Sus scrofa: one gene and its partners. The protein of the gene in region 1 binds, or shares a complex with, the protein of each later gene. Links are inferred from orthologs where the notes say so. Each region holds a gene or a part of one and is shown in the gene's direction. Other genes may lie near its edges.

What was found.
Region 2: TUBGCP5 (region 1) and NME7 share a complex: the UniProt entries of both Homo sapiens proteins name them as parts of the gamma-tubulin ring complex. The link is inferred for Sus scrofa from reciprocal best matches to the Homo sapiens genes TUBGCP5 and NME7.
Region 3: the proteins of TUBGCP5 (region 1) and MZT1 are in contact, whole or in part, in a crystal structure (PDB 6L81), measured with the Homo sapiens proteins. The link is inferred for Sus scrofa from reciprocal best matches to the Homo sapiens genes TUBGCP5 and MZT1. Residues at the interface, in NP_443135.3 of Homo sapiens: Gln14, Gln15, Asp18, Val19, Glu21, Leu22, Val23, Val26, Ala27, Gly28, Asn36, Ala40, Phe43, Ala44, Asn47, Phe48, Arg52, Phe53, Leu54, Phe72, Lys80, Ser83, Trp84, Leu87, Thr88, Glu90, Phe91, Ala106, Ser109, Ile110; in NP_001065243.1 of Homo sapiens: Glu23, Val27, Leu28, Glu30, Ile31, Ser32, Ile34, Leu35, Asn36, Thr37, Leu39, Leu44, Ile46, Cys47, Val48, Arg49, Leu50, Cys51, Glu52, Gln53, Ile55, Asn56, Pro57, Glu58, Ala59, Leu60, Ser61, Ser62, Val63, Ile64.

What each region holds. Positions count from the first base shown.
Region 1 is NC_010457.5:31,998,721-32,002,372, forward strand, and holds part of TUBGCP5 (gamma-tubulin complex component 5), read left to right. Parts: coding exon 1-98; intron 99-2,634; coding exon 2,635-2,731; intron 2,732-3,597; coding exon 3,598-3,652. UniProt on the Homo sapiens protein: Component of the gamma-tubulin ring complex (gTuRC) which mediates microtubule nucleation.
Region 2 is NC_010446.5:81,638,732-81,642,483, forward strand, and holds the start of NME7 (nucleoside diphosphate kinase 7), read left to right. Parts: upstream 1-1,175; 5' UTR 1,176-1,307; coding exon 1,308-1,310; intron 1,311-1,446; exon of another isoform or gene 1,447-1,576; intron 1,577-3,752. UniProt on the Homo sapiens protein: Possesses an intrinsic kinase activity. Displays 3'-5' exonuclease activity with a preference for single-stranded DNA. Does not seem to have nucleoside diphosphate kinase activity.
Region 3 is NC_010453.5:45,008,944-45,012,595, reverse strand, and holds part of MZT1 (mitotic-spindle organizing protein 1), read left to right. Parts: intron 1-132; coding exon 133-278; intron 279-3,652. UniProt on the Homo sapiens protein: Required for the recruitment and the assembly of the gamma-tubulin ring complex (gTuRC) at the centrosome.

The sequences.
Region 1 (3,652 bases):
AATTCATCATTCATTCTGATCTCAGCAAAGCTGCTAGTTGGAAGAGATTAACTGATGAATTTCTAAATGCATCTCTTCCAAGTATAAAGGAAATAAAGGTATGCTGTATTGTGAGATCTTGGTTGTATTTTACTGTTTCCAATCTGATTATCGTCAGCCTGTTTCTATTCACATTTAACAGTCATTCTATTTTAGTATTATTATCCACTGAAGAGAACCAGATTCTCGTGGAAGTTGACTTGTGTTGCCATCAAATCAGTGTGCCTCAGGCTTGTGATGAAAGAAGTATGTTCTTATTTAATCATCTTAGCCCCAACCTATTATGGACATTGAGATCAGAGACTGGCACAAATAATAGCACTGTCTGGCTGTCTTAAAACTTTTAAATGGCACTTGGCAGTAATAACTATCTATATAGATGTCAGGTGCTGTTCTGAGCACTTCCATATTTAGTCATGGGTCTCTTAGGCTTAATGATATGTTGGAAGGATTCACAGAATTTTTTTCTTTCTTTTTTTTCTCTTTCTTTCTTTCCATTCATTCCCAGTACCTGTGGCATATGGAGATTCCCAGGCTAGGGGTAGAAACAGAGCTATAGCCGCTGGCCTACACCACAGCCAGATCAACGCAGGATCTGAGCTGTGCCTGCTACTTATACCACAGCTCATGGCAATGCCTGATCCTTAACCCACTGAGTGAGGCCAGGGATCAAACCCATGTCCTCATGGATGCTAGTCAGGTTCGTTAACCACTGAGCCATGATGGGAACTCGCCCATCTTCTTTTTCTTCAATACATTTAGTGACTTTGGTGAAAGCATCATATTAGCTGATTGATAGATTAGGTTTTGGCCATTAGTGCTAATTTTTAGTTCAGTGATTACTTCAATTAATGAGTCCTCTAGGTGTCAAGCTCCCTTATAGATTTTAGTGAAATAAAGAAGTGCAGGGGTAGAGGAATAGCATCAACCAGGTCCTCTTCGCAGGACCATGTGCTGCTTTGGGGCATCTCCACACAGCTACAGGGTAGCAGTTCTGGTCCCTGGCAAAGCAGGGAGGTCTTTTACTGTGTGTGGTTCTCTTTCACTGGTTATATTCACCTGTTTTCTGGTGTACAGAGTCCTTCCAAAGTAAACAATTGACATTAGCAATTACTACTACTAAATAATTTATGTATTGAGAATTATTTTCTTCGGGTATTTACATTTTAGACCACCTTTCTCTGGGGAATAAGAGAATTTAAGGCATTTCCAAGTGGAGAGATTATTCACAGAAGGGCAGGTGCATGTGGTCTTATTAGTGATGTATTGGCTTATCATGCCCAGGAAAGTCTACCGAGTATCTGCTGTGTCCCTAACATCACTGGGTGGTAGGAATACAGAATAAACAAGAGATGGTCATCACTGCCCAAGTAGTTATTGAATAGTTATTTAATTGTAATTATAAATACCATATACAGTACTATAGAACATTTGAAAGGGAAGGCTTGCATGAGATTGCCCTTACCATCCTTGAATTTAATTCATCTCATCTTTCCATGCATAGTTTATGACTTTCAGCATATTTGGAGTACTTGTATTTTTTGGCAGTTTTTATAATTTATTTTAAATTATTTATTTATTTATTTCGCTTTTTTAGGGCTGCCCCTGTGGAATATGGAAGTTCCCAGGCTAGGGATTGAATCAGAGATGCAGCTACCAGCCCATACCATAGCAACATTTGGTATCTTTTTATTATTTATTTATTTATTTTGTCTTTTTGCCATTTCTTGGGCTGCTCCCGTGGCATATGGAGATTCCCAGGATAGGGGTCTAATTGGAGCTGTTGCTGTAAGCCTACTCCAGAGCCACAGCAACTGGGGATCCGAGCCGTGTCTGCAATCTACACCACAGCTCACTGCAACGCCGGATCGTTAACCCACTGAGCAAGGGCAGGGACCGAACCCGCAACCTCATGGTTCCTAGTCGGATTCGGATCGTTAACCCACTGAGCAAGGGCAGGGACCGAACCCGCAACCTCATGGTTCCTAGTCGGATTCGTTAACCACTGCACCACAACAGGAACTCCTTAATTTTTAAATTTTTAAATTTTTTTTAGGGCCGCACTTGCGGCATATGGAAGTTCCTAGGCTAGAGGTTGAATTGGATCCCCTACGCCACAGCCACAGCAACATGGGATCCAAGCCACATCTGCAACCTACACTATCGCTCACGACAATGCCGGATCCTGGGGTGAGGCCAGGGATTAAACCCGCATCCTCTTGGATGCTAGTCGTATTCTTAACCCACTGAGCCACAAAGGGAACTCCCCACCCTTTCTTTTGTTGACCTTGACATTATTGAAGAGAGCAGGCTAATTATTTGGTAGCTTGTCCTTCAATTTAGGTTTGTCTAACAATTATTGTATATGATTCAGGTAATACATTATTTGACAGGTTCCTTATCTGTACATGTTTGAACTATAAAAACAAGTTTAGAGATTGAGATTGTGGTTTTTTTTTAGGTATGATTTATGTTTTCTCAAACCAGGGGGGAAAAACTGAGGACCTAACTGTCATGAGGTTATCTTTTCTTGAACAAGTTTAGAAAGCTCTTACCAACCTCTGTGAATCATGTTTTTCATTTCTTGTTTTAAAGACAGATGCCCATTATTCCATACTGTCACTTCTTCTATGTCTGTCTGATTCTCCTTCAAACAGCAATTACGTGGAAACACCAAGAAATAAAGAAGTGGGTACGTTACTAAATAAAAAGTTGTAAAAAGTCTTGAAACTGAAATATTTCTGTTGCCTTGAATGCAGTTGTGATTTTCATTTCATTTACAATATAAATTCTGACTTAGTAAGTTAAACTACTTTCAGTTCTATGAAAGAGAAAATTTCTTTTTTTTTTTTTTTTTGTCTTTTTAAGGCCGAACCCAAGGCATATGGAGGTTCCCAGGCTAGGGCTCGAATTGGAGCTGTAGCTGCCAGCCTATACCACAGCCACAGCAATGCCAGATCCCAGCTGCATCTGTGACCTACACCACAGCTCATGGCAACTCTGAATCCTTAACACACTGAGGAAGGCCAGGGATGGAACTCGAACCTCATGGTTCCTCGTTGGATTCGTTTCCACTGCACCACAACAGGAACTCCTTTTTTTTTTTTTTTTTTTTTTTTTTTTGTCCTTTTTAGGGCAGCATTGTGGCATATCGAGGTTCCCAGGCTAGGATTCGAATCAGAGCTGTAGCTGCTGGCCTTCACCACAGCCACAGCAGCACGAGATCTGAGCTGAGCCTATGACCCACACCATAGCTTACGGCAATGCAGGATCCTTAACCAACTAAGTGAAGCCGGGGATTGAATCTACAACCTCATGGTTTCTAGTCGGATTCGATTCCGATGAGCTACGATGGGAACTCCAAGAAAAATTATTTTTGAGGATGAAAAAATGTTAACTGTGTTATAGAATGTCAGTTTATGGAGTGTTTCAGTATTTTTGATCTCTTATTTCCCAAGTGTATTTTATTTTGTGCATTGTTAGATTTTTTACTATAATTTCAGAGTTTCTCCTACATGTTTTTGATAAAGCTGATGAGATTCTTCTATTATATTTTAGAGAAGAAAGATGATTTTGACTGGGGAAAATATTTGATGGAAGGTGAAGAAATTGA
Region 2 (3,752 bases), on another chromosome or scaffold:
CACTACATGACAGAGGAGCTTCTGTTTAGATGTTTAACAAGTGACAAAAAATTCATAATAACTTAATTTGCATTTCTTGGTAAAAATTAAAATGTCATAGCATATATTTTCAGAATGTATGCATGACCTTACTAAATCTTAGTCTTACTAAGATTCAGGCGAGAACATGAGAAGGAAGGTAATACTAATGCAGTGATCACGAATGATGAACCAGGCACTAGATGACAAATGGTTTCACTCACAAAAATGATAACTCTTGAGTACTCGATATAACTCAGCATAGCGTCTTCCGTGCCTACCTTCCTTAAAAGTCACACCCCCGCCGCCACTGTTCTGAAAAATAGCTCTCCAAAGACCCTTCGCAAGAGCAATGAACCCTCGGAAGATGCGCAGGGAAATGTACAAAGGTCTGCAGGCAAATACTAATTGAAGGGGGTGGGGGTGGGTCTGGAGTGTGTAACAGGTATGAAGGTGGCAGGAGTGGAAGCGACAATCCTGTCAACCTCTGCCATCCCCAGAAGTCAAATCCAAAGTTCCGTCCCTGTCTGAACAAACCTTCCTGGAACAACGGGCAACCTTTCCTTAAATCTAAAGCGACTGAATGAACAACACACTTCAATCCAAACCTCTGTCCCTTTCCAAAATCCCCTCTCAGTTACACAAGCCCTTTCCTGGACTTACCTCTCAGATTCTTACTCTCCCAATTGCAGGGGGCCTCACTTTACAGGTTCTTTGGCTAGATATCACGGGTTAACTTCCGCGCACACTCCTCTAGCATTCCGAAGCCGATCCGCCCCAACCTTGGGGACATCAAGCTTTTGGTTCACGGCTAATTACTTCCGATTACTCAGGGTTTCGTTTCCGGAATACTTTTCAGAAGGAAAACACTTTTGGTGCCATTTAAACTCAAGTGACGCAGTGACGCAGAATATACGATTCAAGACTTCAGTAAAACAAAACTGGGTAGACTCTTATTAAAAAATAAAAAAAAGAATACTTGGACCCTAGCCGCATATAAGCCTGAACTTCCGGGTCGCCTTTCAACCAAACGGAAGTGATGATGCTGGAAAGAGGTAGGTGGTGTTCCGTTGCTCCAAGCTACGGCGTGAAGGGGCGGGTCGGTCGGCTGGGTGGGCGGAGCTCTATTTACTCCCAGCCACTAAGGACAAAGGGGCGGGGTAGTGGCGGCCCGCTCCGAGTCCGGCAGTAGGTGGGGCTCTGTTGCCAGAGTAACCTGGCGTTGGTGTTGGTGTAGGTGTTTTCCAGTCGCAAAGTTACCTATTTCCTGGTGCTGAGATCCCGAGGCGATGGTGAGTGCAAGGCGGTGTCAGAAGAAAGGCATCGCGGTCTTGTTTATGCTTTGTCCCAGGTCCTGGGGCGTCTGGGCGTTGAGAGGCATCCAGATCGCTTCTACCTTCGGCTGGTTATTTCTTTGTCCCTTTCCAGGAACTGTCCGTGCAATTTCCTCGCTTTCCCTACTTCTTGCAGCACCCTGAATTACACTTTGGTCCTGCTGAGCCTGTAGAGTATTGTGACAGGAAGTTTAAGGCTAAGACACGGAGTCTAGTAGTCTGAGGTGAGACCTTATTTCGGTCAAACATTGGAGATGTATGCATTTTTCATCATTGCATTTTTTTCAACCTCTCAGCTTCACTTTAACACGCTTCATTTAAAAGTATGTGGTGATGTTTATTTGACTTTTTCATGACTGATCCGAATCTCTCTGAATCCTGTAGTCTTTGCTCTCTTGAGGGCCGAGTACCGTTCCACACCCTAAGGGCCACCTAATAATAGCTGCATTTTGCACTAGCCCTAAATTATACAGTTGATTACCTTTTAACAGGAATACTCCATAATATCACTTGGAAATCACTTCTGGAAAATTCACTTGCTAGAGCTTCACCTTCAGAAATTCTGCATGAATAGAAACAGGCTCCATATTTGCATTTTTAAAAAAGCCTATAGATGATTTTCATTCGATCACATGTTCGAGAATGCCAGGTATGGCTATGAAATTAAATATGGAGACCCACCCAGAGTTCCCGTTGTGGCTCTATGCATTAAAAACCAGAGTAGTATCCATGAGGATGTGGGTTTGATCCCTGGCCTCGCTCAGTGGGTGAAGGATCTGGCATTGCTGCAAGCTGCCGCTTAGGATTTAGCCAGAACCTGGCATTGCTGTGGTGTAGGCTTCGGATTGGACTCCTAGCGAGGGAACTTATATATGCCACAGGTGTGGCTCTAGAAAGAAAGAACAGCAACAACAAACAGAGATCCACCCACCACCCCTTCTTTCTCTGTTAGGTCTTGTGTTTCTAGTTCAGAGAAACAGGTATTGAAGGATAATGCTTCCATCTTTGCTCTAGATTTTATTCCCTCCCATTCCTTATAGGACTTTCTGCTTTTGGTTATATTTTTTTCTTTCCTGTGCTTTCAGCCTCTTCCTCACCATTTCCTTCTCCCCCCACCCCCCCCCCCGTGTTCAAGCCATACACCTTAAGAAAATGAAATAAAACAAAAGCACACCCCCAGCCTGTGTTCGTTCAGTTTATTGCCTAGTCCTCCCATTTATCAGTAAACTGCTTGAAAGCATAGTGCTTCCATTTGTATCAAATTCAGCTCTTTACTTTCATCCTCAGCACTCAGTTATCTGAATTCCTCTAATGGCTTCATGAAGTTGTTCTTGCTTAAATTTCTTATGGCCAAATCCAGGAGTTTCTTCTCAAAATTTATTTAGCCTCTCTTTGATAGATGAAGCTCATCATCATTCATTCCTTCTTTTTTTTTTTCCCCACTGGCTTTGCCTACTTTTTAAATGCCATTCTCTGGGATTCATTCCTTAATTTCTTAGTCTGTCCATTTTCTTTGGCTGATTTCATCCACACACAAGTGTTCCACTAATGCCTAAGCATTCATTCTTAAATTTCAGTTTCATCTCAGACCTGGTAAGCATTCATTCTTAAATTTCAGTTTCATCTCAGATCTGGTAAGACCTGGACACTTCTAGCTGGTTACCACAAAGGCCCCTCAAACTCAACCAAAACTGAACTTGCTGTCTTTTCACCTGGCTTTTTTTGTTTCACCAAGTTGATGCTACCACTATATTTATAACCTAAACCAGAAACCAGAGTTTTCCTACACTCCTTTCTCTCCTATGTCTTCTCTGTTCAGTTGGTCACCTGATTCTGGTTTAGTTTCAGATTTCCTCAATTCTTTTTTTTTTTTCCTTCGCTTTTTTTAGGCCTTCACCCGAGGCTTATGGAGATTCCTAGGCTAGGGGTGTAATCAGAGCTACGGCTACCAGCCTATGCTTCAGCCACAGTAATGCCAAATCTGAGCAGCCTCTGCAACCTACACCACAGCTCATGGCAACTCTGGATCCTTAACCCACTGAGCGAGGCCAGGGATAGAACCTACAACCCCATGGTTCCTAGTTGGATTCATTTCCACTGTGCCACGACGGGAACTCCGAGATCTCCTCAGCTTTTGCTTGCACTGTTGTAGTAGTGTCTTTAACACTCTGGTCTGGTAATTCTTCAATTCATTATTTTCTCTACCACAAGAAGGAATTTACTGAACCCTAAATCTGTTGATGTTAATTACCGCTTTAGAACTCTAGACTCCTCATTCCCAACAGTATAAAAATTCAGCCTATCTGGAATGGCATACAAAGCCTTCTATGATCTAGGACTTAACCTGTCTTGCTTCTGTCATGAAACTTTCTTAGACATTCTTTTAGTTACTTGCCTTTT
Region 3 (3,652 bases), on another chromosome or scaffold:
GAAGTAAGTAAGGGGAAGACAGTATTACATGCCAGTTTTCATATGCAGTATTATATGAACTAAAAATGGAAGTATGTGCATGTTTTTAAATGTTACAAGATTTTTTTAAAAATTCCTTCTGTCCTTTTTCAGTTCTGCTTGAGATTTCAAGAATTTTGAATACTGGATTAGATATGGAAACTCTGTCTATATGTGTCCGGCTCTGCGAACAAGGAATTAACCCAGAAGCTTTATCTTCAGTTATTAAGGAACTTCGCAAGGCCACTGAAGCATTAAAGGTAGAGAGATTCGTGTGTTAGCTCACTCTAAATAAAGATGCTTTCGTTTAGAAAATGATTAATGATGAAGTTAAGTGCAAGGCCCTGAACGTGATTAAACTAGCATCTGTCGTCCTCAGGAGAAATTCTGAAGACCAGGAGCTGGGTGGCATGTGTTCAAATCACAAAATTTGCTACTCTCTGGACCATGTTATCTTTTCTGGTCCAGATAAGTCTCCAATTGTGTTTAGAATTTTCCTCATACTGTGGGTAAAATTGTATCTGCCCCCAAAAAGATATGCATGGGTCTAGTGCCTGTGAATATATCCTTATTTGGAAATAGTGTATCTATAGGTATAATCACATTAGGATGAGATCGTAATGGTTTCATGACCAGTGTCCTTAGAAGACAAGGGACATGTGGACGTGGATACACATGTGGACATGGATACATATGAAGACACAGGAGAGAATGCATGGGATGACCCAGGCTGAGATTGGAGTGATGGTGTCTACAAGCCAAAGAAGGCCCAGCAGAAGCTAAGAGGCAAGGAAGGATGCTGCCCTAGAGCCTTCAGAGAGAGAATGGTCCTGCTGACACCTTGGCTTTGGACTTCTGCCTCCAGAACTATGAGAGCATAAATTTCTATTGTTTTAAGCTACCCAGCTTCTGGTACTTGGTTAGGGCAGCCCTAGAAATCTAATACAGATTGACTACTGGAAAGTAGAGTACTGCTGTAAGAAATAACTAAGAAATGTGGACATGGCTTTGGAATTGGGTAATGGATAGAAATTGGAAAGTTTTAAGAGGCTTGATAGAAAAAGCCTAGATTTTAAGGCTGTCGTAAAACTCTAAGTGTTAAAGGTGATTCTCCTGAGGGCTCAGAAAGAAGAGAGAAGAGCTTCAGTCATCTCAGAATACATATATCATCATGAACAGAATCTTGCTAAAAATATGAATGTGAAAGGTGCTGCTGATGAAGTCTCAGAAATGAGTTCATCAGTTGGGGACACTGGAAGAGAGGCCATCCTTGCTATAAAGAACACTTGGCTGAGTTATATTCTGTTGGAAGGAAAACAAAACTTGTGGACTTCCCATTGTGGCTCAGCAGTAACGAACCCGACTAGTACCCATGAGAACATGGGTTTGATCCCAGGTGTCCCTGGGTTAAGGGAGCTAGCATTGCTATGAGCTGTGGTGTAGGTAGTAGATGTGGCTCATATCTGGCGTTGCCATGGCTGTGGTATAGGCCAGCATCTGTAGCTCTTTTTCAGCCCCTGGCCTGGGAACTTCCATATGCCACACATGCGGCCCTAAAAAGCAAAACAAACCTTTTAAGCAGTGACTTGAATATCCAGCTAAGGAAATTTCCTAACAAAGTGTGGAAAGTGCAGCCTGATTTCTCCTTGCTGCTTATAGTAAAATGTAAGAGGAATGAGAAATTGAGGAAAAACTGGTAAGCAAAGAGGAGCTGGCTCTTGCATTGGGAAAGTCTCAGCCTACCCAGACAGCATGTTCTGGAAAGAAGGCTGGGAGTGTGGCTGGACAACCTTTAGGTGAAGAGATAATAAGGTTGTGTGACTCAGATACAGTCAGGCTATCTGGGCACAAAACCATGCCAGCTTGGGCTGAAAGGGAACAGTGCAGGACGAAGTGCAGGAAGGCTCTGAGACTTCTGGGATTCAGTAGGCAGAAAGCTGACTGATGGAGCTCCCTGCCTGTGTGTTCATCCTTCAAGAAAAGGGAAGAGTCCAGAGGCCAGCACACTGCTTAGGCCGATAGAGCTGCACAGGCAATACGGACCCAGAGGGCCACCTATTTTTGAATTCAAATTCACAACTTTGTTTTCTTTTTAGGGCCACATCCATGGCATATGGAAGTTCCCAGGCTGGGGTCAAATCAGCACTGCAGCTGGGGGCCACAGCCACAGCAACACTAGATCCAAGCCACATCTGCTATCTACACCACAGCTCACATCAACGCCAGATCCTTAACCCGCTGACTGACACCAGGGATCGAGCCTGTGTCCTCATGGATACTAGTCTGGTTCGTTTCCGCAGAGCCACGAGAACTCCCAAATTTACAACCTTTTAATTGCCGAGATTGGGAATAGGAAAAGTGTCGTGTTCCCTCACATGCTTCACACCCTCTGATTTAAAATCTCAGGTGATTGTATTTCCATGTTTATTTATTTATTTTTTTATTTTATTTTCCCACTGTACAGCAAGGGGATCAAGTTACCCTTACATGTATAAATTACAATTACATTTTTTTTCCCCACCCTTTGTTCTGTTGCAACATGAGTATCTAGACAAAATTCTCAATGCTACTCAGCAGGATCTCCTTGTAAATCTATTCTAAGTTGTGTCTGATAAGCCCAAGCTCCCGATCCCTCCCACTCCCTCCCCCTCCCATCAGGCAGCCATAAGTCTTTTCTCCAAGTCCATGATTTTCTTTTCTGAGGAGATGTTCATTTGTGCTGGATATTAGATTCCAGTTATAAGTGATATCATATGGTATTTGTCTTTGTCTTTCTGGCTCATTTCACTCAGTATGAGATTCTCTAGTTCCATCCATGTTGCTGCAAATGGCATGATGTCATTCTTTTTGATGGCTGAGTAGTATTCCATTGTGTATATATACCACATCTTCCGATCCAATCCTCTGTCGATGGACATTTGGATTGTTTCCATGTCCTGGCTATTGTGAATAGTGCTGCAATGAACATGCGGGTGCATGTGTCTCTTTTAAGTAGAGTTTTGTCCGGATAGTTGCCCAAGAGTGGGATTTAGGGTCATATGGAAGTTCTATGTATAGATTTCTAAGGTATCTCCAAACTGTTCTCCATAGTGGCTGTACCAGTTTACATTCCATGTTTATATAGCACTAACGCCACGTGAATACTGAAACTTCAGGTCAGTCCCTTTTAAAACTTTCTAAGGACAAAGTGGCTTCTCTCTACCCTTTTTTCTTTTCTTTGAGGAACAGACTTAGAAAACACATAGCTTACCCATCTCAGATGAAGTTACTCTCCAGTAATTTCCAATCATTTGAGTTTTTGGTTTTGTGTAATTTAAAACTTTTGGATTTTTATTTTATTTTATTTTTATTTATTTATTTATTTTTGTCTTTTTTGCCATTTCTTGGGCTGCTCCCGTGGCACATGGATGTTTGCAGGCTAGGGGTCGAATTGGAGCTGTAGCCACTGGCCTACACCACAGCCACAGCAACGTGGGATCTGAGCCATGTCTTCGACTTACACCACAGCTCACGGCAACACCACATCCTTAACCCACTGAGCAAGGCCAGGGATCGAACCCGCAACCTCATGGTTCCTAATCAGATTCGTTAACCACTTAGCCAGGATGGGAACTCCCAAACTTTTGGATTTTTA